Drosophila melanogaster: one gene and its partners. The gene in region 1 interacts genetically with each later gene. Each region holds a gene or a part of one and is shown in the gene's direction. Other genes may lie near its edges.

Region 1 (6,506 bases):
CAACGAAACGGTAACCATATACTAATAATATTAAATAATTGTGCATAAATGTATATATGTATATATATCGACATAAAACCCGCCGCCTCGTCAGCAATCGTCCTCGTGTCAAATTCATTTTGGAACTGAATTCTCGTGGGTCTGCACTGACAACACTGACCGCTCCAGGGCAAATTGTTCATTTTGAAATTGAAATTCTGTAGCACCATGAGATTCAGCTCTGGCGTGAATTTCAAACATGCATCCACAACATCTCTCGCTCTATCAGCTCTCAGCTCTCTCTCTCTCTCTCTCCTATTTTATGGTTGTCCAGATGAAATCGTCAAATAACCCAATGTAAAATCATATGCAGCCAGCCCAGCCCCGAACTGCAGAACATTTAGTAATGCCGGAATATTCAGTAATGTGTTGCATTCTTATTTACAGACTTCAGCAACGATATCGCCTTTGTGTCCATCAATCCGCCGGACGACAATGACTATCCGTATGCGCTGAACGCGAACGAGGGCATCGATCGGCTGTTTGACTTCGGTTCGGATGCCTATGGACCCTAAGAGGAGACGTCCACGAACACAATCACAACCACACACACACACACACACACATGTCTACAAAATTGGGATTCTGGGGGTGTTTATAATTTTAAATTATATACAAATGGCAAAAGAAAAAAAAAGATACAAAGCCAGCCAGCAAATTATTAAATTATTTGATTGCAAATACTAGAAGCCACAAAAAATCCAAAAACAAAACACAAAAAAAAGCGAATCAGCAAAACTTAATGAAACTAAGTTGTGTGTACAATTTTAAGCGTAAAAATATATACATTTAAATTTATAACCCAAACTAATTTAAGCGAAACAAAACGAAAACACAAAATCTACTTTACAAAAACTCAGCCTCACGAGAGAAATAGGGAGAAGTCGTAGCAAGAAGAGCCACATTTTATAAGCAAATTTTAATTTTAGCCTTTAAAAGAAAGCAAAAAGAATCAGGAATACTATTTAAACGATTGGATAACACACAAAAAATGCGAATACTTCCCTCTTATCAAACAACTTTTTGGGCTAGAACTGTCTGTAAATTAGTAAAAATAATACCAACACACACACACACACACACACTTATATAATTTTAAATTATAAAACAAAATAGTTGTAAAGCCAATCAACATTAAACAATAAAAAGAAAATCAATTTCAAATTGTAAAATATATCGAAGACATTTCAAATTAATATGGAGCAGTAGTAGAAGAGGAAGAGAACACTCCTGGGCCCCCAACAAGATGGCTTTGGTTCCTGTTTTAGTGACGCATGCAACAGAATCCTCTTCTCTTCATTTGCTTGGATTTATCGATTGATTTTTAATTATAATATTATTAAAGCTATAACTATGTATCATAATTTGTTATTGTTATAAAATTTAAACTGTAAACACACACATGGGCCCAATAGCAGTTTATTCATAGAAGCCAAATCATCCCACAAAACAAACAACCAACCACTTAACAGAGTCAACTACAAGTACATAAATAATTATTTAAACTCTCTCCTAGTAGTTATATATTTAACTAAACGATAGATAAAAGCAACAAACAAATGCAAATCATACAATTGTAAAAAAAAATCAATAAATAAACGAAGGAGAACCGCAACAAGCCGAAACCACTGTATAATTGTACGTTTAATTTTTATAAGAGAAAACACACTTGTTAGGTACTTTTCTTTCTTTCCAAAAACAAACACATGAAAAAAAGAGAAAATAAATATTACAAAAACGAAGGAAACTTTAAAATAAACAAAATAAATTTTTAAAACCGAATGTCTACTGTTTCAATTAAACTGAATATTTAAGTTTTTCAAGCCGAATTTAAATAAGGTGAAGTTTGCCATGGTCACAAGAAGTGTTTTTTGCTAACTTCTTTTTTAACTAAGCAATTTTGAATCATCATTTGAATGTTTTTGGTAAATATTATTTTTTATATTAATTATTTTTAATAAAGTATAAAGACTGTACTGTTTTATGCATCTTTTCAAAGATTTTTTTAAACACCAAGTTGAATTTTAAATATGTGATCCATTCCTTGGATTTTGATCATTTTACCCATGAGTAGTTAGCAGACTTGTCTGCATGTTTTAAAACGCCCGCCAACTGGGAAAGCAGTGCATTTTAATGCGCCCGCCAACTCGGAAAGCAGTAAAACGTAGCACTGCTTGCAATTTACGATATTCAAGTATGGCGCACTATCTTTAAACTTGAAACTTGCGTTTCTAAAAGCCAAACCCCAAAAAGCAGATCCTAGCGAAATATTTAAAATTGGTTTAAATTGGTTTTACAGCAGCTCCTAGTATTTGTAGTTAGTTAGTATTTATCACCTAGGCGGGGAGTTCAAGGAAATGATTATGCTTGATTGCATGGAAAGTAGATGCTCTTGGACAATGATTACATAAAAATATTTCCTATGTCATTAAGAAATCGACACAATAATAGCGCCATTATTTTATTATATTTTCTAAATTTTTCGAAAAAAAAGTGATCCAGAATGTAATATTTGCTAATGACATTATGCTCATATAAAAGTTTTTACAAATGGAATATCCGTTTTTAGTGCGCGAGGATTCAGTATTGGGCTTCATGGCGTGTTGGTAAACGAAGAGCTCTGCTATAGGTGGCGCGCTAGTGTAACAGCCGGCACTAACAGAGTTCTGTAAGCGGTCAAAAGACAGAGTTCGAAAACGACCGAACAGAGTTGGAAAACGCGCTAAACCGAAAATCGCGTATACAACAAGGGTAACGGCTGGCAGTGTTTCACGCGATTTCGAAACGTTGAGATCGTTGCCGCGGTCGCCGTGAATTGGAATTGTGAGTGTGTTCGTCGTGCGGAAAATCATCGCTGTCAAATAGAGGCCACAGTGAATTGCCGATACCTAATACTGTGCAAGGCGAAATTATGTGCCCCAGCATTTCGTGAATGAAAAGTGCGAAAATACAAAATACAGAGCAATAGTGCGAGGTCGGTGGAGTTCGAATTAAAGAAATTCCACGAAATACAAGTGCGGGCGATTCTCGTGTGCTGGCGAGAGTGCGGCTTGTCCGGGTGTGTGAGTAAAATTCACGGTAAATAAATAAATAAAATTTGTGTACACACACATACACACACACACGCGCGCTCTCCTATTATTTATATATACACAGCATGTTGTGAAGTTGCGGCGCAAAAAGAAAGCACGCGAATAAAACATAAGAAAATTTAATTACGCCTGCGTCTGGGAAAGTGCGTCGTTCTATTTTGAAATCGATACCAAAATAAAATACAAATAGAAATAAAAATCAAAAATTAGGTGACACAACAACAACTAGATCAACAATGCACGACAACAAAACCGTTGCAAAGGGGTATGTAACAAAAACAACAAATAATAATAAAATGAATAATAGTAGTGAGAACGTAACTAGGAAAATACTCGTGAAATTACTACGCAGCAGCAATTTATGCCAAGTTGTTTTTGCTCTCCTCCTCCTCCTCTCTCCGCCCGGTTCCTCTTGTTCCTTTTGTTGTTGTTCCATATCTATCATATCTTGGGCTGTTGTTGTTCTTCTTCTTCGCACACCGCTTTACGTCTCCGTTTTGTGAATGAGCGGCGCAGCCAACATTGTTCTCTTTTTCTCTCTCTCTCTGTCTCTCTGTCGTGCGGAGAGCGGCTGCGCGAAGAGAGGCGGAAAAGAAATGAAAGAATTTCGATTGCTGCCGGTTTTTGTTTTATTATTGTTGTTGTTGTTGTGCTGGTTTATTTTTTATTGTTGCACGCATTTTGAAAAGTGGTACAGATAAGTTTTCCATTGCATTAAATTAAGCCAGCACTAAAAGAGTAACTAACATTATTATTAAAAATAGTATTTCATGAAATTACTTAGTACTATTGCTAAAGACTGTCTCCTTATTGTCCTTGGTAAGTTTTAAAATTAATCATACAAGCGTCAATAAGAGCTATTCAATAGAATTTTATTAAATATTTATAGAATTAGTATAAATTATTAAAAAAAACAAAACAATAAACTTCAAAGAAGTGTCTTAGTCGACTTCCATTAAACACCCATACATTTTTCCTTAAAAGGCGCTTTAATATGTATGTTGCTCTCACCCCCTCTTCAGGACCACCTGCAAAACTCAATTTTTTATTTAATATTTCAAAAATAAAATTGAACTCACCTGTTGACTTGTCATGATTTTCAAACCTTTATAATTCTAAAGTTATACTTTGGAAAATGTGTTGTTTTTTAATGTATGGTGGACACCACACTTTCAGCGGTTGTCAAAAAGTCATGACAGTGCTGTTTTTTATTTTATTTTGGAGCTCGTAATTAGAGTGACCAAAATGCTGAGTAAACCAGCCAAATATATCCAGTACAATTTTAAAGCTCTCACTTGCTAAAACAAATCCCAAAAAGTTGATCAAACTATTTGCTCAAACTGTGACCTTATAAATCGGGTTTCTTTTTATCTTTAAGGTATATGTATAAGATATCCATTAAATTTAGTTTAATGGAGACTTTGTAAAAACGTTTGGAGCTTCTACAATGTTTTCATTTTATAAACATTAATTATTTAATGCCAACTTAAGCAGGTTGAGACTTTAATGACTTAAGTTGACATTAAAAGTGGGATATCCCTTTAAAAGAACGAGATAAAGATACACCCACGATTTACGGGCTTTTGATTTTGTGTTGTATCCGCAACGGAAGCAGATCAATAGATCGGGGGTCTGTGGGTGTACTGAAATAGTGATAAATGGGAAGATATTTCCCAAATAACTGGCGTGGAGATATTACGGGTAAGTGGTTTTGTGGGCGGGAAGGTGGAAAATGGGGAAATGTGGGGATGGGTCCGCTTGCTAATTAAAAAGCATAAGCACTAATTGGCGTGCCGCTGCGCTTGTTGTTGCTATTTGCGTTGCCGTTGAACTGCCCACTTGCTGTGCTCTTATTATATTCGCGTTATTATTGTATAATAAGAGAGAAATGCCATAAAAAATTGGGAGGTTGGGTTAAAACAACAGGCAAAACCGAAGTAGAAAAAAAAAACACCAGAGAATTGCGCATTTTTGTATTAATCATGCTATATTTTTGACGAGGCCCGAAGAATGTTGGCCAATGTATTTGTATTTGTGCGTAATTTATTTATTTTTAAATCGAGTTTGCCTGCCTGCTCTCTGTGCATTTGTGTGTGTGTGTGTGTGTGTGCGAGCATAAGTGCGAGTGTGTGTGCGTGCTGCGACAAAAATAAGTCGCCGCAATAACAAATTGCTGAAATAGAACCAAAATAAAGCAGAAGAACAGAAGAGATCTATAGAGGATGAGGCAATGACGGAACCCGGGCCAAGTTTGTTGTTGTTGCGCCTGCTTTTGTTTCTCTGTATTTTTATTATTTTATTTTTGTGCATGTTATTTCTGATATTGGCTTTTTAATGGTGTGGCTAAAAACCGGAAATTGTTTGTCCGGCTATTGTTGATGACGTATGACCATCGAGTTGTTGGCGGCTTTGGCGCATAATTTGGCCACACTAATTAACAGTGCCGAAACGAACAACAAAAACACACATGCCGCCACCAACACGAATGCCTTTTAAAGCGAGAAAAAACAAAAAAAATGCTCTGACCACATGTCTAAACGTAGCTGCGCGCAGGCCAGAAAGAGAGGGCACGATTGCCGAAAGAGAGTGGCCGGTGATAAGCCTGTATGTGTGTGTGTGTGAGCCGAGCGAGACAAACAGACAGGTGTCATTGACCTTTTTCGCTGCGAAACAGCACACACACACACACATTCACACAGCCAAACAATTTTGTGTGCACTTTTTTCAGCTGCGTTTGCTTCTTTTCCCTCTCCACCCTCTGCCCCTTTCGCACTCTTGCCCTGCTGCCGCTGCTGCTTTTTCTCCTTTGTTGTTGCTGCTGCCTTCACTGCTTATGCTGTGAACTGCTTGGCCTTGAACTTAGACGCGCGTCTTCTAATCGCTCCACACTCCCTCCGCTGCCACGCCCACACATGCATGCACGCACTGCGATGTTGTTGTTTTTGTATTTATTAATGGGACCAGGAATGGAGACGATTCGACATAATTAGTATGATAATTGAACGAAATATGTGTTTCAATTCATTCGTTTTATACCTTCCATAGAATTAATTTTCAATTGGTTTTAAAACAAAATTATAGTTTTCTGGTGCAATAGTATTAAATTTTTCTACTAATTTATTTAAGCGACTAGTTCTCAAATACAAGTTACAAATATGTATGCATGTACATGACCGATCACCAAGGTGATTGGGATCTCTCCTTCTTTATTGTTATTATTGCACTGAACAAGCTGTGCGTTTTGGATCATGCCCAAATTGGTATTAATTACGCAAGCCGTGTAGCTGCCATTTGTTTTGCCATTGCGAAATGCAACGTATTTGCAGTGAGTCAACTTGTTTTCGCTGTACCAGCCGCACTTAATTGTGTTTTTAT
Region 2 (7,755 bases), on another chromosome or scaffold:
ATGAGAAAATTGAAACGCGTTTCCCATTGTGTTTAGCTCGGTTTTAGGTAGTACATATGTATTCTTAGTTCCTAGAATGAATCGATTTTAGTTATTCAAAAATTGTGTAAATATAATAAAAATTTATATTTCCTTTTCGTAGCTCCCTATGAATTACAGAAACAAAGCCGTCGCCAGCCGCTTTCCACTTTCTGATCTCTTCACTTTCTCGCTATCAAGCAGTCTCACATATTTGCTGTTATTTGTTCTTACTCCTCTCGTCTCGTTTCGTTTCGATCTCATAACTCATTTCTCGGTTCATGGTCGCCCTGGGAAGACCCTGTGACAGGCTCCCCGGACTCCTCTTATATAAGGCGTTGAACATCCGCTCAAGTTGCTGATAAACTGATGTTTGCAAAAAACCGTACCCTTACATATTGAATGCAATGCATTAAAGGAAAAATATTTACTTTGTTTTTACATTTTCTGTATGACTGAGATAAGGGAAGTAATTCAAGAATGTAGAGCCTGCTCCTACTATCTGGGCCCGTATTAAATCCGCTCAGGGGGTTATCGTTTCAATTTAAGAACTGACTTTACTTGACTGCCGTTTGTATCTCTGTGTGTGTGTGTGTGTTTTGTTGGGGAATCGGGGTATAGGGGCATCTCTTTGGATATTAATTATATTGGGTAATATGGTGTGGCTCCCCGCTTTTAAATTACGTGTGCAGCAACCGATCTCGGGCCGACGGCGAGCAGTTTTGTGGAGCTGCAGCCGCACCACCACCACTGCCACCCATGTGGGTGGGTGGTGGTGGTGGCGGCTGCGTTGGCGGCGACCTTAGCGGTATCGAAGGCTGGACAAACCGCACGCGCTCCGCATCCGTGGATGCGGCACTGCTGCTGGCCGCCGCAGCTCCGGCTGCCGCATTGAAGGCCGACGTAAAGGCGGTGGCGGCTCAAAGGGTGTGGTAGTTGCGCTCGTTGCGGGCCTTGTAGAACTTGTAGGCCACTAAGCCGATAGCGAGCAGGCCCAGAGTCAGCACAATGCCGCCAATGAACGAGGATCCATCGAAATGACCGCACGGCACGGGCTTCGGCGCCGGAGTGGTTGATGTGTGTGGCGGCGGCGTAGTTGTGGTCGAGTTCGGAGACGGAGTGGTCGTAGATGTAGTTCCAGGCGTGGTGGTGGTCGTTGCCGGAGTGGTGCTGCTGGTGGTGCTGGCCGGAGTGGTGCTGCTGGTGGTGCTGGCTGGAGTAGTGGAAGTTGTGGTCTTCTCAGTCGATGTGGTAATTGGTGGCGTCGTCGTGGTCTTTTCAGTTGTGGTGCTCGTGGTTGAGGTCGACGGTGGCGTCACAGTAGTGGTGGTGTCCGGCGGAGTGGTGGTGTTCTTGGATTCCTGGGTGGTGGTGTCCGCTGGAGCCGGTGTGGTCACTGCTAAGGCAAATAAAAAGAGTTTATAAATATTAGCTTATGATAAGTTCGTAAAACTATTTCACATCAGATAGACTCAAGTGTAGTAAATATTATAGTAATGAACCCAATGTGTGGTTTTTTTTAATCAACCCTTTTTGATACGTTCATATTTCTTATTTCAGAATGAATACATCGTAAAAAAATAATTTTAAGTAAGAACAGCGCCTATCATAGCTTCAAAAAAACAGGGCTTGTGTGCAGTAATCAGCAACGAATATTATAGATAAAAACTTATGCGTCACTCCAAAGTTAAAAGCAAATAAATTGGTAAGCATGATAAGTTCACAACGACTCTTATTGATCGATTTCCAATATTTCAAAAAGCACAACGAATACACATGTTTTGTAAGAATTGAAAATAAAAATAGTTCCATTGCACATGTAAATGATGTCAAAATTGTCAAACAAAATAGAAAAACGTAACAAAACAAATTGATTTGGTTCGGAAAATAAAGATTACTATATTCAAAATAGGCAGCATTTAGGTGATATTTATTTGTATGCAATAATGGAATTTAAGGAATGGAAATTTAAGAAAGCTGAAAAAGTAAACATTAAATTGTTTGTCAACAAAATATGGTCAAAATCTCTTTAAATCCTAAAATATGTACAAATATTTTCGTATGGTAATTAGGACGTGACGATTTAAATAAATGCTTGCGAACAAAATATGGTTACAGCTCGGTAAATACATATTTACCAAATGTCCACAAATATTAACGTATGGTAATGTGACAATTTACGGACTTTCGTAAATTCCAAGTTTCTTTTGGAAAGCTGTAGATTTGCAGTTCTTATGCGGAGAACATTCCCCCAAAGTCGGAGTAAGAGAAAATGGCCGGAGAATTGATATTCAATATAGGAATTGGCATTTAAAAAACCCCCACATCCACACACACGCACATTCATGCACACACACACCCACATGCCCGCACGGCGCACACACGCGAGGGGTTTGCGCACACGTACGCATGCACATGCAAGCGTGTGTGTGTGTGTGTCCGAGTGCATAATTGAGAAATGAGTGTTCGGCGTGTCTTCAATTCGATTTTAATTCGGTGTAATTTGATCAAAGACTCACCTTCTTCGCACAAATTCGCGGAGAAGAGGCCCACAAAGAGGCACAAGATTAGGAATTTCGCCTGCCGATTCATTGTGGTCGTTAAACGCTGAGTACTCGAACGACAAAGTCAGCAAATCTGCAAGGCAAAGAAAATACGTTTGCGAAGTGGTTGGGGATTAACAGATACCGCTGGAGTCAGTATTGCACAACTGGCGATGTCGCCGAGCTCCGATTTCGCTCACCCACAAATTAAAGCAAGGCGCAATTAAGGAATGAATAACACGACACGAAGACCAGATTCTTTTATGCCAACTCGATACTTCGATGCATCCCGATACATCGACAGCTGAGCCGTGCTCTGCAGCCCTGGCACTCGGCGCTTATCAGTAGGGGGAGACCGTAATGTAGTTGAAACGCCTCGCATTTGGTGCAATATAAAATTATGATCATAAATTTGTCCTTATATTTTACTTGATTTATTACTATAAAATTGTATACCCACCTAGCAATTTATTTGAAATATTTGTAGGTTAAATCTATATAAACATAAGTAATTTTTCACAGCTAAATCTTTCTTGATAACGCAATAACTCATTAATTTAATTTGATCGACTTAAATGTACCATTTATATTATTTTATTTTAGTGAGTATATAGTAGTAGTACAGTATAAATATGAAGTTTTTATAATTATTTATCAAATTAGAGAGTGCCTCTGTTCCAAGTGTAGAATTCAGGTGTGTTGGGGGAATACCCCTAATAAAATTGCTGTATCATCATTATATCTTGTTGCTGCAGAGCGAAGAAGACGTCAGTGTCAGTTTAATTCCGTAATCCAAGAAACGGTAACACTTCACACTTGGTGATTCAGAATTAGTAGATATTTCTTGTCTGTTTATGGCCCCTGTGAAGACAGGACTCGAATTAGCGTAAAGGAACGACCAGGAGAGCACCAAGATGACCTCGTACGTGCGTGCCATGTACGACTTTACCGGGGAGCCGGGCTCCTCGGAGCTCTCCATCGCGACTGGCGACGTGCTCTCGGTGACCCGGAGCGATGTGGGTGAAGGCTGGTGGGAGGGCAAGAATGCCCGTGGCCAGATTGGCCTCTTCCCGGCTGCGTACGTGGAGGTGATGTCGGCGGCCGAAGCCCAGAAGCTGAGCGCCAGTGGAGCGACGTCGGTGCCACAGGTTCCGGATCCCTTCGCCTCGCCCCCTTTGCCGCGTTACGATCAGACGGCGGATGATGATGGCAGCAACTGGGATGATGAGGACGATTGGAGCGACGACAATGACACGTACTCGGAAATTGGTCCAGGTGGCCAGAAGTCTGCGGGACAGTCGGCTCGCGCTGGCGGATTGTCGCATTCCACCAGTGACTACGATAACAAACACCTGCCCATCGCGCCCAACGATGATACCCAATCACTGGCCTCCGTGGCTGGTGGGACTGGTGCTGCTGGCACCGTCAAAAAGGGCATGTTCGCCAAAAGTTCCGATTCATATATACTCGGCTTGTCCAGCACCAAGGAGAAGATACCCGAATGCGAGATGGCCTACATTACACAGGTGGAGGACTCGATCTACCAGTGGACGCAGAACCATTCGCCCTACTCCGTTGTGGTGGCCAGTCCCAAAAAGGAGTCCAAATTCAAGGGGATGAAGACGTTCATTGCCTACCAACTGACGCCTAGCTTCAACAACATATCCGTAAGTTGGCCAACCCTGATATCGCCGTGATTAACAACACAATACGATAAAGCTCCGACCGTTGGCGCATGAGTGTGTAACTACGGGTGCAATATTTTGTTGATAATATGTGTCTGTGCTGTGTTCGCTACCCTCTGCCAAGGGTAATTTGGGCTGGTTCATGTGCTCACGAGCAGATGGAATGGAATAAAGAAAGACCAATCCTTTGTTTATCGAAACTCCGCACTAATTGCCGGCCAACATTTTCCAACTGAGTTGACCTTAAAAGTGACCCTTTTTTGCTGAGAAAATTTAAATGGAGATCATATCCATTTCTTTAATTGGTTTGTTTTATTAAGACTCTGAAAATTGGCTAAATTTATCTTTTTATTTGTTAAAGTTTTAATACTATTCAAAGCTATAGTTCATTTCTTATTAGCTACTTAAATAGTATTTTGATAATTTCGATCAACTTTATTCATTACAATAATGAGAAGCATAAATGCTCGACATTACTTTCGAACTGAAATCAAAGCTCTTTGTAAAGTTCTTTCAGTCCATTAAAATACACATACAAATAGGTAGAGCATTACAGAGTCGTAAAAGCACTTAAAATTCTTCTTTGTGGGGGCAATTCTGACCAACTGGTAGCCAGCGGCACTGCGATGATTGCTTGTGCTTGCGAACCGCCACGGGGAATGACTCAGCAACGAGCTCTGACCCCCCGAGCTCCGGGCTCCTCTTTGCGTGACCCAATCACAATTAATTGGTCATATCTAATCTGGGTTTCCCTTTCGTTAGGTGTCACGTCGCTACAAGCACTTCGACTGGCTGCACGAACGTTTGGTGGACAAGTTTTGCCTGATTCCGGTGCCACCGCTGCCGGACAAGCAGATCTCCGGCCGCTATGAGGAGCAATTCGTGGAGCATCGACGTGTGCAGCTGCAGGAGTTCGTCGACTGGGTGTGCCGCCATCCGGTGATCTCCAAATGCGAGGTCTGGTACCATTTCCTCACTTGCCGCGACGAGAAGATCTGGAAGTCGGGCAAACGCAAGGCGGAACGGGATCCCTACATGGGCGTCAACTACTGCCTGGCCATCTCGCCGCCGGACAAGAACCTGCTGCACTCTAAGGTGGACGCACAGGTGGAGCTGGGCACCCAGTTCATACACAGCATGGACGTGGCAGTACGCAACCTGAACAATATATCCAACGACATGGCCAAGCGCTCCATGTCGCAGAGTAAAAAGGAGTTCCAGCGCATTGGCGACGGACTCTCCGACCTGGCCAAGGCATTGGCCATCGATGAGCGGCGTGCGCCCACCCGAAACGCGGTTCCGCTCTCCGAGAGCGTCGGCCGCATCGGTGGCATCTTTATCGGTATTGGACAGGCCTTTGGCGACCAGCCAAAGCATGATTGGATTCCCCTCTCGGATCGACTTCACATCTACAGGTGGGTTGACGTCTCTATAAGTGATGGGAAGCATAGCACATTTCGTTTCATTCATCAGTAATTGATTAGCTGACTGAAAATGGGAATTCCACGACATGTGTCATTTCTATACTAGAAGTTACAATAGGCACATACATATATGGCTGAATTACTCACAATTAAAAATTTTCGATAGATTACTTTCTTGTAAATTGTTTTTAAGGTATCAAGTTTATTTATAAAGAACTCAAATTGTTTACTTTTAAGCAATGAATCAATGTATAGTTTCGCGAGAAAAATCGATTGTTGGCCAATAGTTTATTTTAGATTATTGTGGTTCTTACGCTGACTGACCTTTAGTTTAACAAGAAATATATACATAGATATACATATGTATAATATATATATAACTTCTAGAGAATGTGGTAACTTTCCGTCGCTATTTGTTTATAGAACGATCTAGAAGCATTATCTAATTCTTACTTTCACTTTTCCAAATAGGGGCGTTCTCAACTGCTTTCCGGACATCTTCTCCACGCACAAGGGTGCCATACAGAAGCGAAAGGACTGCGAGAAATTGGCCGGCGAGGGCAGGATGAATAATCCCCAGTTGCACGACGTTAACCGGCGCACAGATGTCGTCTCCTACACGGTGCTGGCCGAGCTGACCCACTTCAAGAGCGAGCGGGATACGCATTTGAAGCATACGCTTAAGAATTTCATTGCCGAACAGATTAAGTTTTACCAGGGCGTGGTGGCGCGCCTGCAGGAGGCCAGCCGTCAGATTGAGTAGATTGGCCCTTGGCCCATGGCGACGACGACTCATCGCTGAAGAGATCGACGGCTGGGAGCACAAAGAAACCGCACCGGGCACACACTTCCACACAGAGATACATAGCTGAAAACATTCGCACGCGCGCATTTCAAATGCCTTCGAAAGGAACTCTTACTTTAAGCGTGGTTCTAACTAAATGTTAAACAGAAAAAATATTACATAATGTTGTTTGTAAGTGAAAAGTTGCGTATTTATACAGAAATTAACTTTTATATGCCTATTATACACTGAACTTGAGATGCAAATATAACTATATTTATACAGAACCACTTGTGCAAGTGCATCATCTGCATCATAATCATCATATTTGGATGATCCAACCAAACCCGCTGAATTAAAAGTCTCGGTGGCGATTTGCTATTCTGTTGCCTTTATCAGCGAAATTCTCTAAAAGGGTTCTCTTTATTTTTCCATTTTCATGTTCATGCTTTTGCTTTGCCATTTTCGCGTTAATAAGTTTTGTGATTCTTGTGTTTGTTTGGTTTTTTTGTTTTTTTTTTTTGTATCTAGAACATAAGTGTTAGATTGCACATGTTAGGGATGATGATTTCATAAATAATCAGCGTAATAACTAGTAAAAACAAAAAGAAACACATTTCGGAATGGATACAAAATCGGTTGTTTGCCTTTTAGCGCTGCGCTTTGTTTTCGTTTGATTTTTGGCGAGGTCATAGGTGAAGGTGAAGGGTCCAAGGATTGTCCTGGCATTTTTGGAGGATAGTCGGATGTGGGTTTCCAGGGATGGGAATCGGGTTGTGGGGGGATCACTAAGTGTAATACATCTAGATAAAAACGCTATATACAGACACACGAGTTAATAATAATAATAATAATATAACGCAGCTTGAGATAATAATAATAATAATAGATTTTGGTTAACAATAATACAATAATTAGGTTTTTTTTTGCTTTTGCCTTCCGCTTTCGCGCTCTACATTATTTTTTGTTTACTTGTCGTGTTTTTTTTTTGTTTTTTCCTCTTTGTTTTCTTTTCATATTTTTTGTGTTTTTCTTTTTTGTTAACAAACTACCAATAACAAATTTTTACTAATTCAATTTAAGTTTTTTTTTATGTTTACTGCTCTCTGCTTGTGTTTACCACCTTGTTTGTTGTTTATAAATTATTGTTGTTTGCGTTCCGGTTACCTTGTTGTTGCTGTTCCTGTGTATTAAACTAAAGGAAAATCATGGTTTATCCTTTACCAATTCCTGGCGGTAAAACGGCCTATACGATGCCTCTAAATATATAGTTATTATTACACGCAAGTGTTACATATGCC
Region 3 (8,924 bases), on another chromosome or scaffold:
GTTCCAAATGCGAGGATATTTTTGAAAATTAGCATTTTTGCAACGAGTTTAACCACCCTGGTCGAAAAGTTGATATAGATACAAACGCTAAATTGTCCGGTGGTGATAACTTATTGATTATTTATTTTTCAAGGCAGCTATCCGATTTGCAGGATAACTCCGAAAACGAATCAGAAACAGTGAATCCAGATGTCCAGCATGGGTGATCAGCGCGGGACACGGGTGTATGTCGGCAATCTGACCGACAAAGTGAAAAAGGATGATCTGGAGGGGGAGTTCACAAAGTATGGCAAGCTGAATTCGGTGTGGATAGCCTTCAATCCGCCGGGATTTGCGTTCGTCGAGTTCGAGCACCGCGACGACGCCGAAAAGGCGTGCGACATACTGAACGGATCCGAGCTGCTCGGCTCCCAGCTGCGCGTGGAGATCTCAAAAGGGCGGCCACGCCAGGGTAGGCGTGGCGGACCCATGGACAGGGGCGGACGACGCGGCGACTTTGGCCGGCACAGCATCACAAGCGGTGGTAGCGGCGGAGGCGGTTTCCGGCAGCGCGGATCCAGCGGATCCTCAAGCCGGCACACGGAGCGGGGCTATAGCTCCGGCCGATCAGGTGCAAGCAGCTATAATGGCAGAGAGGGCGGCGGCAGCGGCTTCAATCGCCGCGAGGTTTACGGCGGTGGACGCGACAGCAGCCGCTACAGCAGCGGAAGTAGCGCCAGCTACGGACGCACTGGTGGTCAGTCGGCCGGACGCTTCAGGTCCCGCTCGCCGGTGGGAAACCATCGATTCTAATGACAACACCACTCATAGTTGCTTAAGGATTGCCTATGAGTAAAGATTAATAAATAATAACTTAAGCGCGACCGTAAAACGCAGACTCAAACATTTAAAATCGTAGCATTCGATCGTTTTCGATCGTCCAACAGATTCCCTCATTCCCCCACATCAACAACAACAACAGAATGATAAAAAAAAAAGAAAAAACAAAAAACTGATAGTCGTCGTCTCTTCATTATTTATTTAACGAATACCCATTAACATGACAATTGCAAGCACGTAAAATTTAAGTTATAACGTAGAAAACTAGTAAGAAAAATACGCTAAGACTCGAACAACGTCAAACCAAAATCTAGAAGTACGCAATTTTAATAAAGGAAATGCGGAACAGTTTCTCGTATACATAAAAGCTTTCGCAAAATAATTGGTCTAAAACATTAAAGAATTTTGAGAACTCGGAATTGTGTAGGTGTTCATTTTTACAGAACCTCTTATAACCATCGTAATAAACCCTACGAAATGAAGCAGTCAGCAGTCCGAAACTGGTAAGAAAGCGTTTTCGAAAATCTGCTTTGTTTTCTGAATCTCGAAAACCTAAAAAGCAATAACCGCCAAGTGTTTACAAACAAATCATTGACTTTACGTTTTGGTAAGAAATATTGCATGTGTACTATCCATCGATCTAACTTTTTACCTATTAAGACAAATACTATACAAATCTATAACTTATTGTAGTTGGGTCGAAACGGCAAAAATCTAGCCAATGCTGCAAGCAACTATATTAAGCGCATCGGTTTTAATGTTTATGTTTTATTTCATTTAACTAAATTAACAGGTCATTTGTTGGAGTATCTCTTAACGTCACTTTCAGATTTATTAGATTGCTTAAAGTTCAAAACATAGCTAAGCAATACTTATGATAACGACGATTAGTTAGTTAGCCCAAGGGGCTATTAAATATTTAAACGATGGACTGCAGAAACTTTTTAAACAAATAAAAAGCGAGACAAATAAATGAGAAATTGGTTAACACGGCAAAACACTTGTTTTTATTTCTTCGTCTTCGAGTCCTTTTTGCTTCAATAACATTTACTGATGATTGGCCTATTTTGATTTATTCAAGTTACGAATTAAAGTCAACAGTTGAGAATTAAGTGGTACCAAGAATTCATTTTGCGGAAACCAACTAGCCTTAAGATACGAGTGTAATTTTTAAAGTTTTGAAAATTTTTTAAAATTTTAAATTATTCAGATAGCAGGTTTTGCTTTTGAATAAAGGAACTTTAAATTCCAATCATATTTATGTCAAAATAATCGAATACCCATAAAAAACCTGTTGCACTTTTATCGATTGTAAATAAAAAAAGAGAGGATTACATTAATGGTATTACCCAAACTGATAGTTTTCAATAGCATTTCAATGGCTGGAAAAAAAAATAAATAAAAGGTATTCGTAAATCTTAAAAATGTTTGCGTTTTAAAAAATTGCATACCAAAAATAATATTGGTTTTGCAAGAAATGGAATTTTTAATAGCTGTAGCAATATTAGTTTCGTGGGTAGAACTCGAGTAAAAGATGTGTTGGTAGTCATGTTTTTGGTAGCATGAAGTTATATGTGTGTTGTTTAATAAGATTAAAATAAATGCATAGATAATTACATATTGTTTAAAACCGCAGTGCTAAAAAATAAATGGTTGTATCGATGACCCATCGATAGTTTTTGCATACACAATTTAATCGAGAGGGCACCACGCACGTCGATAGCACTGGATGTACATTTTCTCAAATCTTGTGGTGGTATCGCTCGCCGTAAACACCCTGTGGATCTCACGCTTGATAAATTAATAATACATTTAATAGAGCATGAGCGCTACTGTTTAACTTTTACACATAATTGAAAAGTTTTATTTGAAATTTCGTGGCTTAGAGCAAAACATGTGATAGCTTTTTGAAATGCAGTAGCCAGAACCTGCTCGGTTGGAACATTTAGCTTATTGACTTAAACATACCCATATGCACATACATACATATGTATTAAACAGTGGGCACATATATTCGTGTGGTGCTGATAGTGTAAATGTGTAAAATGTCTGTGGAATTGTAAATATGTTTTTGTTTAAACAAATATGTACATAAATGCACAAAAATCGGTGCATATATGTGCACATGCCCATCATCCATATCTGCATATTTCTGTACATGCATATGTGCTCTAACTACAATACATACCACCATTCGCAAACAGTTTGTCAAAAAAGTGTGTCTACTCGGCGAGATAAAACAAAAAACAGTTGCCAAATCAGTCGCTATGTTAAGTAATTCGAAATTACTGCTCGGTGTTTCTAAAACGGATTTTGATTTTGATTTTCACCCCTCGAAAATCGCCCCCTCAGCCAACGAACCCATTTAATTGCTCGAATTCGTATCGAAATCGCCGTGCGTTGGGCTTCAATAAAAGAACTCTGTTCTGTTAGCCAGTTACAATTAAAACCAGGACCATTTGACAACCAATCTGAATGTATTATGCCAAGCGGAAGATTGTTATATTGTTTATCTTTGATAATATGCCGATACATGTAAGTATGTTTCACGTGTGTGCCGCAAATGCCTGCCTGTGTGTGTGTGTGTGTGTATGTACATATGTGCGTGTGCATGTGCGAGTGTGTGTGAGTGTGTGCATGTTTGTGCTAAGGATATTTGTGGATATATAAACCGAACTGAAGTTAACTCTTTACCTGTTCCTGGGAAAACAAGTAGGGAACTATTCCTATAGAGAGTGCACCTCTGTCTGTATGTGTATGTACGTGCTTAAATATGTATCCAAGCAAGAACTGCAAACAGGAATATATCTTAGCCGAGTAAGAAGTATTAGTTTATATAGAACAACCTAAGTGGATCGGGAGAAAACAAGCCCATTATATTAGTTCCATATATCCCTTTAGAATGCCTTGGCACAGTATAATTAAGCAGTTTCTATTGACCATATTAGAAACTTGTCTGCTGTTAAAGGATTTAGGTTTGAATTCGCAGTAGAAAACTAAGCTGAATTGAGTCAATACTTTTCTAACTTGCTGTGGAAAATAAACAGATTAGTTAGAATCATATGCATATTAATTAATATGCTTTACATTCCTTTCAGAACGTACACTTTGCAATGGAGTAAATAGAAGACAAGCACTGGTTCCCAAATACATTTGAATGGATGCAGCTAATCTAATTTAAATAAAAAAGACAAGTCTTTAAACCTTAAAAATATGGCCAACACTATTTCGTTAATGTCCAACGTGATACGCAATGTAGTGAGTAAAAAACGTATACGATACAAAGAAAAAGGATACGATTTGGATTTAACATGTAAGTTATTGAATCAACCGCAATCATTGGAATATTAAATTAAATTATCTATTTACCCACAGACATTAATGATAACATAATTGCCATGGGCTATCCAGCACCGGATAAACTAGAGGGCCTATTCAGAAACCGTCTGGAAGATGTCTTTAAGCTATTGGAAGAGAATCATGCCCAGCATTACAAAATCTATAACCTATGCTCGGAGCGTAGTTACGACGTTGCTAAATTTCGCGGGGTAATTTTGTTGAACTTTTTCTATTTGTCGGCGTAAAATATGTAAAATATACTATTTCGCATTACAGAGAGTAGCTGTTTATCCGTTCGATGATCATAACCCTCCAACGATTGAGTTAATACAACGATTTTGCAGTGATGTTGATATGTGGCTCAAGGAAGATTCGTCCAATGTTGTAGCCGTGCACTGTAAAGCTGGAAAGGGCAGAACCGGTAGGAAATGTGTTCAACATTTTGTGCGAAAGTTCATAAATATCATGGCACACTATGATCTTGTTTCGATATTTGTAGGGCTAAAAAACTAACCCAGTTTTTTTTCATTTCAGGTACCATGATCTGCGCATATTTAGTGTTCAGTGGAATTAAAAAATCCGCCGACGAGGCATTAGCGTGGTATGATGAGAAGCGTACAAAGGACCGAAAAGGTGTGACAATCCCATCTCAGCGTCGATATGTTCAGTATTTTTCCAAACTAGTTTGTTCAAGTGTTCCATATTCGAAAGTAAGCCTTAACGTGAGTATTTCCAGCAGCAGCGCCACATTCAGCGCCGTACAAAATCTAAATATGCATTTTTTGTATCTCAGGTATGTGAAATACGCTTCTCGGAGTCCAGTTGTGTGCAAAACTTAGGCATGGTAGAATGTTCAATATCTGTATTACACGACTCAGCCACAGAAAATGCAAAGCCAGATGTAAGTATATAAAGTATATAGATACATCATTGATAGACTATAGACAGCATTTTAAAAATGTATATTTCACACGATTTCAGTGCAGTAAAGTGTTCCTTTTCGAATACCTTTCTAACCAGCAGTAACATTCTTCTTTTTTTTATAATTGCAGAGACTGAAAACCTTGCCGATTGATTTTCAAAAATCATTTGTTTTGACCATTAAACCATCAATACCAGTTTCCGGCGATGTAAAATTTGAACTCACAAAAAAATCCCCAGATAAAATCATTTGTCACTTTTGGCTAAATACGTTTTTTGTACGAAACTATTCACGTAAGTATACTTAATATCGCACATGCATTAAATAAACGATTTAATTAAACATTCTCTTTAGCTTGCGAGTCCGATGGAACAGTTAACAAATATATACACACTTTAAGCAAATCAGAAATCGATGATGTACATAAAGACAGTGAACATAAAAGATTTTCAGAAGAATTCAAGGTAGGATATTTCGAAGCATTTTAATAGATGCTGCGAAATTACCAAATAAATGTGCTTGCTCTCTTTTCAGATTTCAATCGTTTTTGAGGCAGAGAATTTTAGCAATGATGTTCAAGCTGAAGCGTCCGAAAAAGAGAGAAACGAAAATGTTTTAAATTTCGAAAGATCAGACTATGACAGTTTGTCTCCAAACTGCTATGCCGAAAAAAAAGTCTTAACTGCGATCGTCAATGATAATACAACGAAAAGTCAAACAATAGAAACGTTGGATCATAAGGATATAGTTGTAAGTGAAAACACGTTTTGCGCCGATCAATATGCTTAATCTATAAATCTAATATTCGTAGACTAAAATTCAATACGACACATCAACCAATTCAAAAAATACTTCGACTGCGTGCAAACGCAAACAGCCTAATAGCAAAACTCTTTTACCAAGCTTGAATGATTCCACAAAAGAGGAAATAAAACGAAATCATATATTTAATCAACCGTCCATTAAGAAAACTGATTTAATCAAATGGCAGAATAGTGAAGTTCATATCACCTCTGACACTCGAAGTATAAACGAAAATAAGAACATCAATTACAATTCATACATCACATGTAAACAATCCTCTCCAAAATTCAACTGTGGTACCGAAGATGGCGAGGAAGATTGGGAATCCGGTGAGTTTGCTGCACACTATACTCTCAATGACCAGATCTCACTAAAAATCTATCCGTTTTAATCGAGTAATACCGAACAATTGTTCTAATTTCACATTTATTTAATACTAAGAGTTTCGATTCAATTGATTTCTGGACCATTATCGGTTTGATTTTGTAATTAATTGTATTGTATGAGTATTCAAATTAAGATTTGTTAAAAGAGATAGCCTTTATCGACATATGCTATCGTCCACACATTTATATTCTTATTGACTTATTGAATTCGCCAGAATAATCACCCGAGACGATTTAAAAGACTTCTGGCTGAACGATCTCTTAATTTTGATGTATAAAACGAAGCCACCAGAACTGGATTTATATGTCCCCAAGACTTTTACGAGTATACTAGCAGAGACAGGCTTACACAGATCCACTTCCTTTCACGGGGAAACGATCGATTACAGCTGCGCTCTGCACATCTGTTTAGAATTTAATGTACATAGGTGAGTGAGTGGGAGCCCATGCCTGCGGCTCGAATGGTCAACTAACCGGCAATCCTTAATCAGTATCCGCATCGATTTTCATCACACATCCCTCACCGCTTCATAAGTATGTGACTCTGGGCACTGCCATTGTCCTTCTACTCAATTCATTTAACAAAACTAGCACCGAACTGTCGAACTTCGACTAATTCGACTATTTCACTGTTGCTGTTGAAAACTAAATATCCTGAAGCAGAATGTGTCTTTTGTGTGTTTCATCATCATCAAAAGTCTTCTGCTTTTAATTCATTCATGCTATTTTGATTTTTATCGTATTCTCGTTGAGTTTTAGTTAATAAATTCATTAAGCTTGTTTGAGCAAAAAAATCTAAACTAATAAATGAATATTTTTCTTTATTTCCAGGTGAATCAACATACCTGTAATCAATGCTTATTACGGACTTATAATTCTTGGTGATTTAGCAAAGTAATTAAAATTGCTAAGTAATTGGCTAATCTATTCGAATTTGTAAATATACTGTATGATATTTATTTAAGTAGTTTTAACAATTATTTTAAATAAACTCATGTACATTTTGTATTGTAGATTTCATTCGAACTTTGGGTTTTTGTCTAAAGTAAGGGGGGAGAAATAATTGACGTTTAGAAAAAAATACTTAAATTTATAGTTTTGATCTCGAAACTAGTTTTCGACACGAAAAGTGCAGCGATTAAATGGATATCTCATATTTTATTGGAATTTAACTAATAGTTTCAAATGAGGCAATAGCTAAGATAAATAAATAATAAGAGGTTCTTGAAATTTGCCAATTGTTGTGCAAAGCATACAGGATTCACAAAGGTAATTATCAGATTAATAATAAATATTCAAAGTATGATTATTCCAGTTTCTACGTTAAGTGCTACCAGTTATTTTTCTTACTCTTTTTCCCATAATTCCCCTAACATATGTTCCACTTCCGAGTTCCAATAAACCCAACACAAAAATGTTGTCCAAATTGACGCTATCTTGACGGGCATATATTATTGTGTTAAATTGACGTAAACTGGGCGGTCAGAATTTCGCATCTTAACGTCGACATCTAATTTTAAAAATGACTAATTATTCGGAAATTTTTAAGAAAGTTTTTAACGATATTGGCCAACGTTCAGCATATTCGCAGATGCTTATTGGCGTTTCATCAGGATGGTATGTGGTTATATCATTGCGGCGCATCACTTAAATTTTTAGCAATGCCGATTGTCTTTGGAATTTGAAGTAAATTGATTTTTTGCATACTTTCGGTAATAGCTGGTAGATAACTGCAGAATACGTTTTTAATTAAAATATACAACTGAATGCTTAGCCGCTCCATCTATTGCAAATATGTACTTCTAAATACGTGTATAAATGAATGTTGTTTGTTTGCGGGATACAGAAATATAGGACCTCCCTAAAAAGGAAAAGAACTAAATAGTGTAATAAAATGAGTTATTAATCAGATAAAACTGATATAATTTGCACAAGATAAGCTAGATAACTCGGCAATTTACTATACATGTATATGCGCCAAATGATGAGTTGCAAATTTAAGGAAATCCATAGAATTTGCTGGAATTTGTGTATCTTATCTTACTAAAAATATAACAATTTTTTCAGGGTCACAGGATATACGACAATGAAAATAGGCAAATTTGCTGCCTTTGCAGTTGGCGGCAGCATAATCTTGCTCGAAATCGCCCACCAAGAAGGACTTATAAAAATAAATTGGTCTAAGTTGGATAAGAGCGTGGATAAGCTCGCCGATAAAGTGGAAGCCTCGCTGGGTCGTGAGAAGAACTGGAAGGATAAGGTATAATTCATTTAAACCGTTTATCTATATGCTTACTATATTTATGCTGAACTCAATTTGCAGACCGAAAGATATGTCGACAATCAATTAGACAGAGCTGAAAGCCTCCTAACCCGAAACGGCAAGAAAGTGGCGAAATGGTACACCAAACTGATTGGCGATGAAGAGGGTCCAAAAGTCAACGATCTGCACATATTTTTGGCATCATTTTTCGGTGGCGTTGCCCTGGGCATTGCTACTGGATAAAAGAATTTTCCGATTGGCACAACAAAACATTTAAATACCATATGGTTATTACGAACAAATCTCACTTAATAAAGTTACAAAAAAGGTAATTTAATCGAAAATCAATTGGTTCTTTCCCAAAACATCTCAACACTCTTCGGGTTTTCGA
Region 4 (9,477 bases), on another chromosome or scaffold:
CCCATTCTTTGGAATCACCAAAGAAGGTGGGAATCTGTATTTTAGGCAGGGTTGGTAACTCCTCCGCCTTAACAACCGTCGACATTTCAGCTTTATTTATTGTGCCACTGAGTCGACTATTAATGGCTGTAAGAATATTTTGTTTGTCAAATTCAAGTTCGCTAATTTCTTCTTCGAATAGCGAACTCTCAAAATGACTATTCACCTGTTCAATCAGGTTATCTATTTTATGCCATAAAAATTCAATTTTATTTTTCCTTATTTTAAGGAAATCTGGACTACTGTCTATTAGTTTAGACGTATCTTCTAGATATACTCGAAATTGGCCAACATTATTACGAAATGCCTGCTCTACTTTTAAAGCGTTGTTTTGTGCTATACCCTCTTTTTCAGGGTGACCACGTATTTCAAGGTTTAATGTAGGGGGAGGGTTTGATTTAGGGACAGTGTTTGATTTAGGGAAAGTGTTTTCTACCGACTCGCCCTTAATTTTTTCATTTTTATTTTTAATTTTTTCTAACACCATCATTATTAAATCATACTGCTTCGCGTTAAAATATTCATGATCGACAACGCCGATCTTTAACAAATTGCTATGATTAGCAATGAAACATTTTTGAAGCTCATTTAATTTTAGAATTTCTACATCTGTTAATGTTGGTTTTACTTCCAACTTTCTAATTTCCAAAATAATTTCGGACTGCTTCTTAAGGAATTGAATAGTCTTTTCTGACATCATTTTGAAAATTTTTTGTAATTTCTTAATATATATAGTACGTGTATATGTATTTTATATGTATTTATATATATATGTGTGTTTGGATAAACAGAAAATTCTTGTTTTGACTTAGCTGATGTCGTTGTTGTTGCTGCTGCTGTTGCTGCTGTTGTTGCTGCTGTTGCTACTGCTGTTGCTGCTTCTGCTGCTGCTGTTGTTGCTGCTTCTGCTGCTGGTAGAGGCTCCTTTGAATTTGACTTCCTTCTCTTCTTTAAGGCTCCGTCGATGTTTAAAGATGATTTTTTTTTTTTTTGCACGTTTTATTATTTTTGTAGTCCAGTCAGATTTTTTGTTTTTTAGCCATTTATTTCGGCATTTATGCTCTTTTGGCATATACACTGCACTCTATTTATGAGCTGATTTAATGCTATTAGAGCATTTATAAGGCACTGTTTTCAGGCACTTTTTATTTAATTTATGCTCTTATGGCATATACACTGCACTCTATTTATGAGCTGATTTAATGCTATTAGAGCATTTATAAGGCACTTTTGTTATGCACTTTTTAATTTCACAATTGCTGATGTATGGCCTCAAGCACGCCTTACCACAATTTATAATGGTACACAAAGCAACCTTTAGCTATAGACTATAAGGTGCTTGTTTTAAAACATAAAAGATTCTTTTGTATCTTTTGCTTTTTATATTTATACTCTGTTCCTTACCTTTGGTAGGGGGAAACAAGAGTCACTTATTTTTGCTACCTTTAGCTGTAAGATGCTTAAAGGAGCTGGCCTTTCTCTGAGTTCCTTACCTTTGGTAGGGGGAAACTGCAGAGTCGATTAAAGGCTCGATTGACCAAATGTAAAATCCCAAATAAGAAGACTTTACTCGTTGAGTTTTTGTAAGAAACTGATTTTATTTGGAAATATCTTCGGTTTAAATAGGTGACATGAGAATCGCATCTTAAAGTAAATGGCCTACGCAGAGGCCTAAGTAAATAGTCCCCGCCTTATCGAGGTCCCACGCTCGGGCACATCTGCCTATCTTGAGCGGCGAGGACCTTATCTGTGGTCTCCCACTAAGGGACTATTTTAGGAGGCGGGGAACGATCTCAAGTGACTGACTCATGTAGTGTGCACTTAAATTACATGTTTTTGAGCAATGCACCCATGTCGCCTTAGATAACAAAATCCTAAATATAATTTATCGCTCTCGATTCATTTACATAAGATATGAACGGAGCCCAAAATTGTAAGTCTTTAAATATATTCGTGTTCATGTGTGAACAGGTAGAAAAGCAGACAACAACAATCAGTCAATTGCCTAAGCTTATTAATTTGTAAATCTATTTTAAATACAATATCAAGAAAACTTATGTTCGTTTGGTTTCAAGTTAGTTAGTTAGGAATTCTTCAGGTCGGGATTTATTTTCCTATCTACATAAGGTGAGTTATAATAAAAGCTTTAAGCTTCTTCGATTTGGTTGGTATGCTTAGTTTTGCTTTATTCAAAACTAGGAATACTATTTACATAACGAATTTTTGAATCGCACTTCAAAACAAAAGATAAAACTGGTCACACTTTAATATTTCAGTTATTCAAGTATGTAAACAATGGAGCAATTTTTAAGCTAAACTTTTAAATAAAATAGTCAATTTATTTTTTTATTTCCTCACAATTCGAAATACACCGCAGTGTGAACGCCCCATTTGCGTGGATTTAGTATTTTCTGTACCCACATTACGGCCTGGCAACACTGGCACTTTCCTCAACAGCTGGCTTATCTTATCTGCTTCTGTGGTATTTTTTGGGTACAATTCGGATATTGCATTGTTAATCTCGGTTTATTGAGTCCCAGTGGCCGTGATTTGTGCATCGACCAGTTGGAAGAGAGGGAGCAGTTGATCTGCGAATAGTTCCACGCGCTGGCACCCATAGTTTGTATGCATTGCACTTAGTCTGGCGATCGGTTGGCGAGGCGAGAAACAACCTGTGGCAGCCAGCGGATGAGAACTGGATTCGATAGGAATCGACACGTTTGGACCGGACAGGATGAGCTGCTTTAGTGCGATGAGTGCCCCGCTGCTGGGCGAGATGGAGCAGACCATTGGTATGCTGGAGCGCGGCACCATCGTGACCAAGTTGTATGGGAAACAGCGTCGTCCGGATCGCCGCCACCTGATGCTCATACGAGAGACACGACAGCTGCTCTGGGCAACGGTGGCCACACAAACGCCACGCACCGACTACGAGGGCGCCATACAGCTGCGGGAGATTCGCGAGATACGGGTGGGCAAGCACTCGAAGGAGTTTCGCCTGTTTGCCGACGACTGTCAGCGCTTCGAGTCCAGCAAGTGCTTTGTCATACTGCACGGCAATCACTTCAAGCTGAAGAGCTTCTCGGTGGTGGCTCTGTCGGAGATCGAGGCCGACAATTGGGTGCGGGGATTGCGTTACATGGTTAAGGACACACTGGGAGCACCCTATCCCTTGCAAATTGATCGCTGGCTGCGTCGCGAGTACTATCAAATCGAGAATGTTAACACGCATTCCGCCAAGGCCACGGAACAGTCGCCAGCCCAGGTGACCATTAAGGACTTTAAGCTCTTTTTGGCCGGAGTTAGCTGTAAGATGACCACCGGCAAGTTCATGGAGCACTTTACCGAGGATGTGCGGCGCAAGCACGATCTCAAGTTTGATGATTTCTCGCGGCTATATCAGAAGTTGCTGCTGCCCAACGGATTTGCCAGCGTCTTGTCCGGATCGGGAGTGGCCAACTTTCCCTATTCGGAGGACCAACAGGTGGTGCGACCGGCGGAGCTGAAGCAGTTCCTCGAGACGGAACAGCGCGATGTGAGCGCCAGTGAGATCAGTAGCGCAGCCATTGCCTCCTTCATTCGGGACTTTGTTCAGGACGTGGAACGTGATGTTCAGGAGCCGTATCTCACCTTCCCGGAGTTCGTCGACTTTCTGTTCTCCAAGCAAAACGACCTGTGGAACAGCAAGTACGACCAAGTGTTCATGGACATGAACCTGCCGTTGTCCTCCTACTGGATCGCATCGTCGCACAATACCTACCTGACGGGCGATCAGTTCTCCAGTGAATCCTCCTGCGAGGCCTACGCCCGCGCTCTTCGCATGGGCTGCCGTTGCATCGAGTTGGATTGTTGGAACGGGCCCGACAATCTGCCCTACATATTTCACGGCCACACCATTACCTCCAAGATCAAGTTCATGGATGTCATCAAGACGATTAAGGATCATGCGTTCACCAGTTCCGAGTATCCGGTAATATTGTCCATAGAGCAGAATTGCTCCCTGGAACAGCAGCGGAATATGGCGCAGGCCTTGATCGAGGTAAGTTGACCTAATCGAATCTATTAATAACAACAATTTATATATTCCATGCAAACAGGAGATCTGCATGTTTGCTTTTTGATTCATTCGCTGTAATAATGAGTTCTTTTATGGCTTTCTGTGAGATTGCCTAACTTAATATATAATTGAAATGGATTTTGTATATTTCGATAGTTGGGAATATGTATGACAATATGAAGAATTCGCTTTTTATTCGTTTGAATCTAATTATAAATGTAACAGAGCAATATTTTTAGTTACTTAGATTTCAAGACGATGGTAATTAGATATTTCTTGATGCTTTAAGTATTAATCGCATAAAAATCCATTGACTTATACCTTTTATGACCCATTACAGGTTTTCGGGGATATGCTGCTTACGCAACCTTGTGATCGAAACGAGCAGCACTTGCCATCGCCATACCAGTTGCGTCGCAAGATAATCCTGAAGCACAAGAAGTTGCCGCAGTTTGACGACATCGCGAATGGGATTTCTAGCACGGGTTCACTGGGCCATAGATCATCGTTGGGCGGAGCGGGCGGTGGAGCGCATGGGGAGAACGATGGCGAGAATGTGCGCAAGGTGTTCAAGGAGGGACTGCTCTACTTCAAGGATCCGGTCGATAAGTCCTGGAATCTTTATCAGTTCGTTCTGACCCATCAGGAGCTAATCTACTCCTCTGAGATCAACGAGTCACGCAACGGAAACTCCGAGGATGATGACTTTGGGCTTTCTTCGTCGTGCTCCCTAAACAGCAATATGCAGCAAAAGCAAAAGGATACCTCGGCCAACGATGAGCTGCACTTCGGCGAGAATTGGTTCCATGGGAAACTTGAAGGTGCGTTTATTGGTTGACATATATGCAGTATATTCCATTTGTTTCGTTAACAATTTGCATTTTAGGTGGCAGAAAGGAGGCTGATGATCTACTAAAGAAGTACAAACACTTTGGCGATGGTACATTTTTGGTTCGGGAATCGGCCACGTTTGTGGGAGACTATAGCCTTTCGTTCTGGCGACGTAATCGCCCGAATCATTGCCGCATCAAGTTAAAGCATGAAAATGGATCGATCAAGTACTATCTAGTGGAGAATTTTGTATTCGATTCACTGTACTCACTGATCGTTTATTATCGCAAGAATATGCTGCGTAGCTCAGAGTTTTCGATTATACTGAAAGAGCCAGTTCCGCAGCCGAAAAAGCACGAGGATCAGGAGTGGTTCCATCCGAACACCACCAAGGAGCAGGCCGAACAGGGTCTATACCGGCTGGAAATTGGTTCGTTTCTAGTGCGGCCATCGGTGCAGAGCATTAACGCTTTTGTCATTTCGTTCACAATCAATCGAAAGATCAAGCACTGTCGCATTATGCAGGAGGGACGCTTGTACGGCATCGATACAATGAACTTCGAGTCTCTGGTCTCGCTGATCAACTATTATACCCGAAATCCACTCTATCGCAATGTTAAGCTCAGCCATCCGGTGTCGCAGGAGCTGCTGCGTCAGGCGCTAGCGGAGGCGGCACAGGGTGATCATAGTGGCGGTCACGATGACAACGGTGCCTCCAACTACATGGGCTCCAATCTGGAGGAGAATGTCACGTGCAAGGCGCTCTACAGCTATAAGGCGAACAAGCCAGACGAACTCTCTTTTCCCAAGCATGCCATCATAACGAATGTCCAGAGGGACAACTCGATGTGGTGGATTGGAGATTATGGTGGCATGATCAAGAAGCATCTGCCGGCAAACTACGTTAAGGTGAGATGCATATATAGATTTATTTGAAATTCAACTATATTCAACTCTTGAAAATTCCAATGTCTAGGTTATCGATTCAACTACCGAGGACTACAATTCGCTGAACGAAGAGGGCACGGATGGACGCACCGATTCCATTGAGATTTTCGGAGCTGTTGCCTCGCTCTTTGAGTCCAACGATCCGGGGATTATTTTCAAGCTGCAGATACAAACGCCAACGATGCAGAATCCGTTTGTGATTGGCTTCGACAATCAGGAGACGGCGTACGAGTGGATAAAGGCAATCCAGGAGGCAGCCCTTATCGCCAGTCAGCTGGCATCGGAGAGGCGGAAAAAGGAGCGCACTGCCCGGGTGGCCAAGGAGATGTCCGATCTGATTATCTACTTCCGCAGCGTGCCGTTCCGCGAGCACTCGTGGATATTTCAGGAAATGTCGAGTTTCCCCGAAACGAAGGCCGAAAAGCAGTTCTTCCAGCAGAACACACAACTGTTTCTCTCCTACCATCGCAATCAGATTAGCCGAGTGTATCCGAAGGGTCAGCGCCTGGACTCGTCGAATTTTAATCCCATGCCATTCTGGAATGTTGGATCCCAGATGATCGCACTGAACTATCAGACAGGCGATAAGGCCATGCAGCTGAATCAGGCCAAGTTTCGGAATAATGGACAATGTGGCTATATCTTAAAGCCATCGTTCATGAAATCTGACAGCTTCAATCCGAACAATCCGCTGTGCGATGGCCTAAGCGAAGTTAAAGTTAGCATACGTCTGATAGCCGCACGTCATCTATTCCGGGGCGGCAAATCGAACAATCCGCAGATCGTGGTCGAATTGATTGGCGCTAGCTTTGATACGGGCGTTAAGTATCGCACCAAAGTCAATGAAAATGGTTTCAATCCGGTGTGGAATGAATCGTGCGAGTTTAACGTGCGTAATCCACAGTTTGCGATCCTTCGCTTCGAAGTGCAGGACGAGGATATGTTCGCCGAGACGCACTTCATCGCCCAGGCGTGCTATCCGCTGACCTGCATTCGCCAGGGCTATCGCAGCGTCATCCTACGAAATAAGTTCAGCGAGGAGCTGGAATTATCGTCCCTGCTGATCAACATTAAGATAGCAAATGTTACCGCACCGTAAGAGGATTGCTGAGTTAGCTGGATCAATATCAATGATTCCAAATCGAGTGTTTGCGAAAACAATTGCGCTAGATCAAAAGGAAAGCGAACTTAATTCGCAAAAGCAATTTATCAACAACTTGTACATAAGAACATTTCATCGAACTATGAACCTGATTCTCTCACTTGTAATTTGTCTAAAAAGCTTAGGATCTGAAACGTATGATTTAGATTTAGATTACTTTCTATACACATCAGCAGTTATGGTTAGTTCATACTATACAATGAGTATTCAAATGGTAACAATGAATTCTGAACTCCTGGAACTGAAATCAAGTTTATGTAATCCGTATAATTTGTACACTTTTCCATAACACTAAGCATTCAAGTCTGTTGTCCTCTAAATGTTGTATTTGTGCGTGAGATTGATTCAGGAGAATAGAATGATACGAATATGTTTTAACTATTCGTCACCTCATTATAAGCATAAGCAAACCAGATTTGATTTGATTTCGATTTAGGGAACTTGAGCTATTTCCATTTTACCAGTTTTACCATCAAAAGTTAAGTACATTAAGTTGATTCCAAAATTAGAAATAGAAACAATTCATAAACAGCTCAATTGGCATCAATTTAATGGGCATTTGATATTCAGTTTCAGGATCAGCTTTTCATAAGTATTATATTACAATCTTCTTAAAGACTTTTAACTGAAGAAAATAGACCACTTTCATATGTTATCTGGAAAACTATTTTAGACCTTTCTCTTAGCACAAATACTCAAACAGCATTTCAATCATTTAGCATTTACCTTTTTTATTTTCTCTTTTAAAGCTTAAAGTAATAATACAATTTATAAAAAAAAAAGGGCAAAGGAAATTTAAACCACTTTGATTACATATGTCTTCCAGTTGTTTAACAATTACGATATACCACATAATTGTGTCTATGTTATTTAACCACGATTGTTGTAGCTAATGTTACAAAAACTAAAAGTTTGCAAACAATATTAAAATAAAATGTAATTATTCAATTACATTTAAATGAACGTGCCTTAAAATTCGAAATGATCGAAATTTTAAATGTTTGAACGTTAACTATTGAAGTACACCTGTTGCTAAAATAACAAATATTTGAAAAATAATAATATAGCTCAAAGATATCTATTTTTTATAAAATCAAAGTTCTAACTTAGCTTCTTCTCTAAACTGCGAAATCTAAATATCTAAAGCCTAAGTTCAATAGACGTATTATTACTAAATGCATTATATAATTTATATATCTAGATATTCATAAAATGCACTAGTCGATTTAAGAAGTGGAAATTGTGCTCCCTATGCGAATCATTTAGGATTTTAATCTGAAACTATTTGCATTCCATACGAATGCCCCACTGAAACGATCGATATCATTTGTCTTGCACTCGCATTTAATTATTTAACAAACATTCTGCTGTTTCCATTCGCACAATAGTTCTAATTTGGACATTTTGCGCGTTTGAGCGCATTAGCAAATCATGCTTAGTATATATGTATGTGTATATGTACCCAAAATGTATTTCATTTGTACGTTCCGTTTTTAAGTGATTTGTATCTGTACGTCTAATAGATATTTTCAACTGTTTTTGTAATTGCCTTATAATTCAGTAAACACACACCATACGTATACATTCATAATTATTTAATGCCAAATAAATGTTTATCCGGCGTTAGCTGTCTATATATATACAAAGTTGTTTCTATATGTTGGATTTCTGAGAATTGAGGAAGCCACCGAATGAAGTAGTTATGTTATATACCCTTAAACTCACGTACAGTTTCAACCCATTAGAAGCATTTGGAGTTTTCGTTTCCAACTTCCGGCTCACAATGAAATAAGCGACTATCCCTTTCTATTTCATGGTATCTTCGTATTTTCGTAGTCAAAATTTTACTTTTATTCTGATATTTATTGGACAAATGGTGAATGTGAGATATATGATTTACTTGTATCTAAAACTCGCGTCTGTGGTATTTGTCGGGATCGAAATATGATGTGACCACAACGCGGTCGCTGAATTTACGTCCAGTAAGTGCTTGCTGCGCCTTCTGACAGTCGAGAACCGAGTTGAATTCGACAAAGACCTTGCCGCAACCGGGAACTTCGACGCCCTCGATGGGACGTGGAATTTCCACGCTCCGCACGACTCCGTATTTCGTGCACTCCTCCTTGATGTCCTCCAAGATGTCCTCGTACTCCTCCTCGTCCCGCAGTTCATCGGGCGTGACCATGTTGAGCAAGCAAAGAACCTCAGTCGGCGGTCCAGAGGTCACCACATTGGACAGGCCCGGCACTTGGAGCATTACGGACTGCGTGGTGTTGGCCGCGTTCTGGGCATTCTTGGCGCCCACACTGGCTCGTTGGACAATCAGTTTTTTGTCACCCAGCTGCATTCCATTTAGGCCAGCAATCGACTACAAATTTTATTAGGAATCGAAAGAGAGTTAGAGTTAAGATTGTGTTTGTTTGCAATTTTGAAGTAGTTT

What was found.
Region 2: of InR (region 1) and SH3PX1, changing one suppresses a phenotype caused by changing the other (phenotypic suppression), as found in Drosophila melanogaster (one study listed by BioGRID).
Region 3: of InR (region 1) and Pten, changing one suppresses a phenotype caused by changing the other (phenotypic suppression), as found in Drosophila melanogaster (3 studies listed by BioGRID).
Region 4: of InR (region 1) and sl, changing one enhances a phenotype caused by changing the other (phenotypic enhancement), as found in Drosophila melanogaster (one study listed by BioGRID).

The regions. Positions count from the first base shown.
Region 1 is NT_033777.3:21,615,617-21,622,122, reverse strand, and holds the start of InR (Insulin-like receptor), read left to right. Parts: upstream 1-2,801; 5' UTR 2,802-3,101; exon of another isoform or gene 3,102-3,396; intron 3,397-6,382; exon of another isoform or gene 6,383-6,506. Other genes in the region: E2f1 (E2F transcription factor 1), read left to right, coding at 427-554. UniProt on the Drosophila melanogaster protein: Has a ligand-stimulated tyrosine-protein kinase activity. Binds 3 insulin-like peptide ligands.
Region 2 is NT_037436.4:9,709,406-9,717,160, reverse strand, and holds SH3PX1 (SH3 and PX domain containing 1), read left to right. Parts: upstream 1-3,333; 5' UTR 3,334-3,475; coding exon 3,476-4,228; intron 4,229-5,008; coding exon 5,009-5,661; intron 5,662-6,141; coding exon 6,142-6,433; 3' UTR 6,434-6,739; downstream 6,740-7,755. Other genes in the region: vsg (visgun), read right to left, coding at 939-1,417, 2,538-2,610.
Region 3 is NT_033779.5:10,254,684-10,263,607, reverse strand, and holds Pten (phosphatase and tensin homolog), read left to right. Parts: upstream 1-2,558; 5' UTR 2,559-2,754; exon of another isoform or gene 2,755-3,023; 5' UTR 3,024-3,354; intron 3,355-3,620; exon of another isoform or gene 3,621-3,917; 5' UTR 3,918-4,032; coding exon 4,033-4,132; intron 4,133-4,194; coding exon 4,195-4,367; intron 4,368-4,434; coding exon 4,435-4,579; intron 4,580-4,692; coding exon 4,693-4,880; intron 4,881-4,951; coding exon 4,952-5,059; intron 5,060-5,210; coding exon 5,211-5,373; intron 5,374-5,434; coding exon 5,435-5,544; intron 5,545-5,614; coding exon 5,615-5,830; intron 5,831-5,891; coding exon 5,892-6,213; intron 6,214-6,485; coding exon of another isoform or gene 6,486-6,490; exon of another isoform or gene 6,491-6,698; intron 6,699-7,101; coding exon 7,102-7,121; coding exon of another isoform or gene 7,122-7,155; 3' UTR 7,156-7,289; downstream 7,290-8,924. Other genes in the region: Rsf1 (repressor splicing factor 1), read left to right, coding at 190-792; CG5676 (uncharacterized protein), read left to right, coding at 7,793-7,887, 8,338-8,530, 8,594-8,776.
Region 4 is NC_004354.4:16,347,813-16,357,289, forward strand, and holds sl (small wing), read left to right. Parts: upstream 1-2,502; 5' UTR 2,503-2,773; coding exon 2,774-4,078; intron 4,079-4,436; coding exon 4,437-4,917; intron 4,918-4,982; coding exon 4,983-5,836; intron 5,837-5,903; coding exon 5,904-6,974; 3' UTR 6,975-8,670; downstream 8,671-9,477. Other genes in the region: U2af50 (U2 small nuclear riboprotein auxiliary factor 50), read right to left, coding at 8,944-9,405.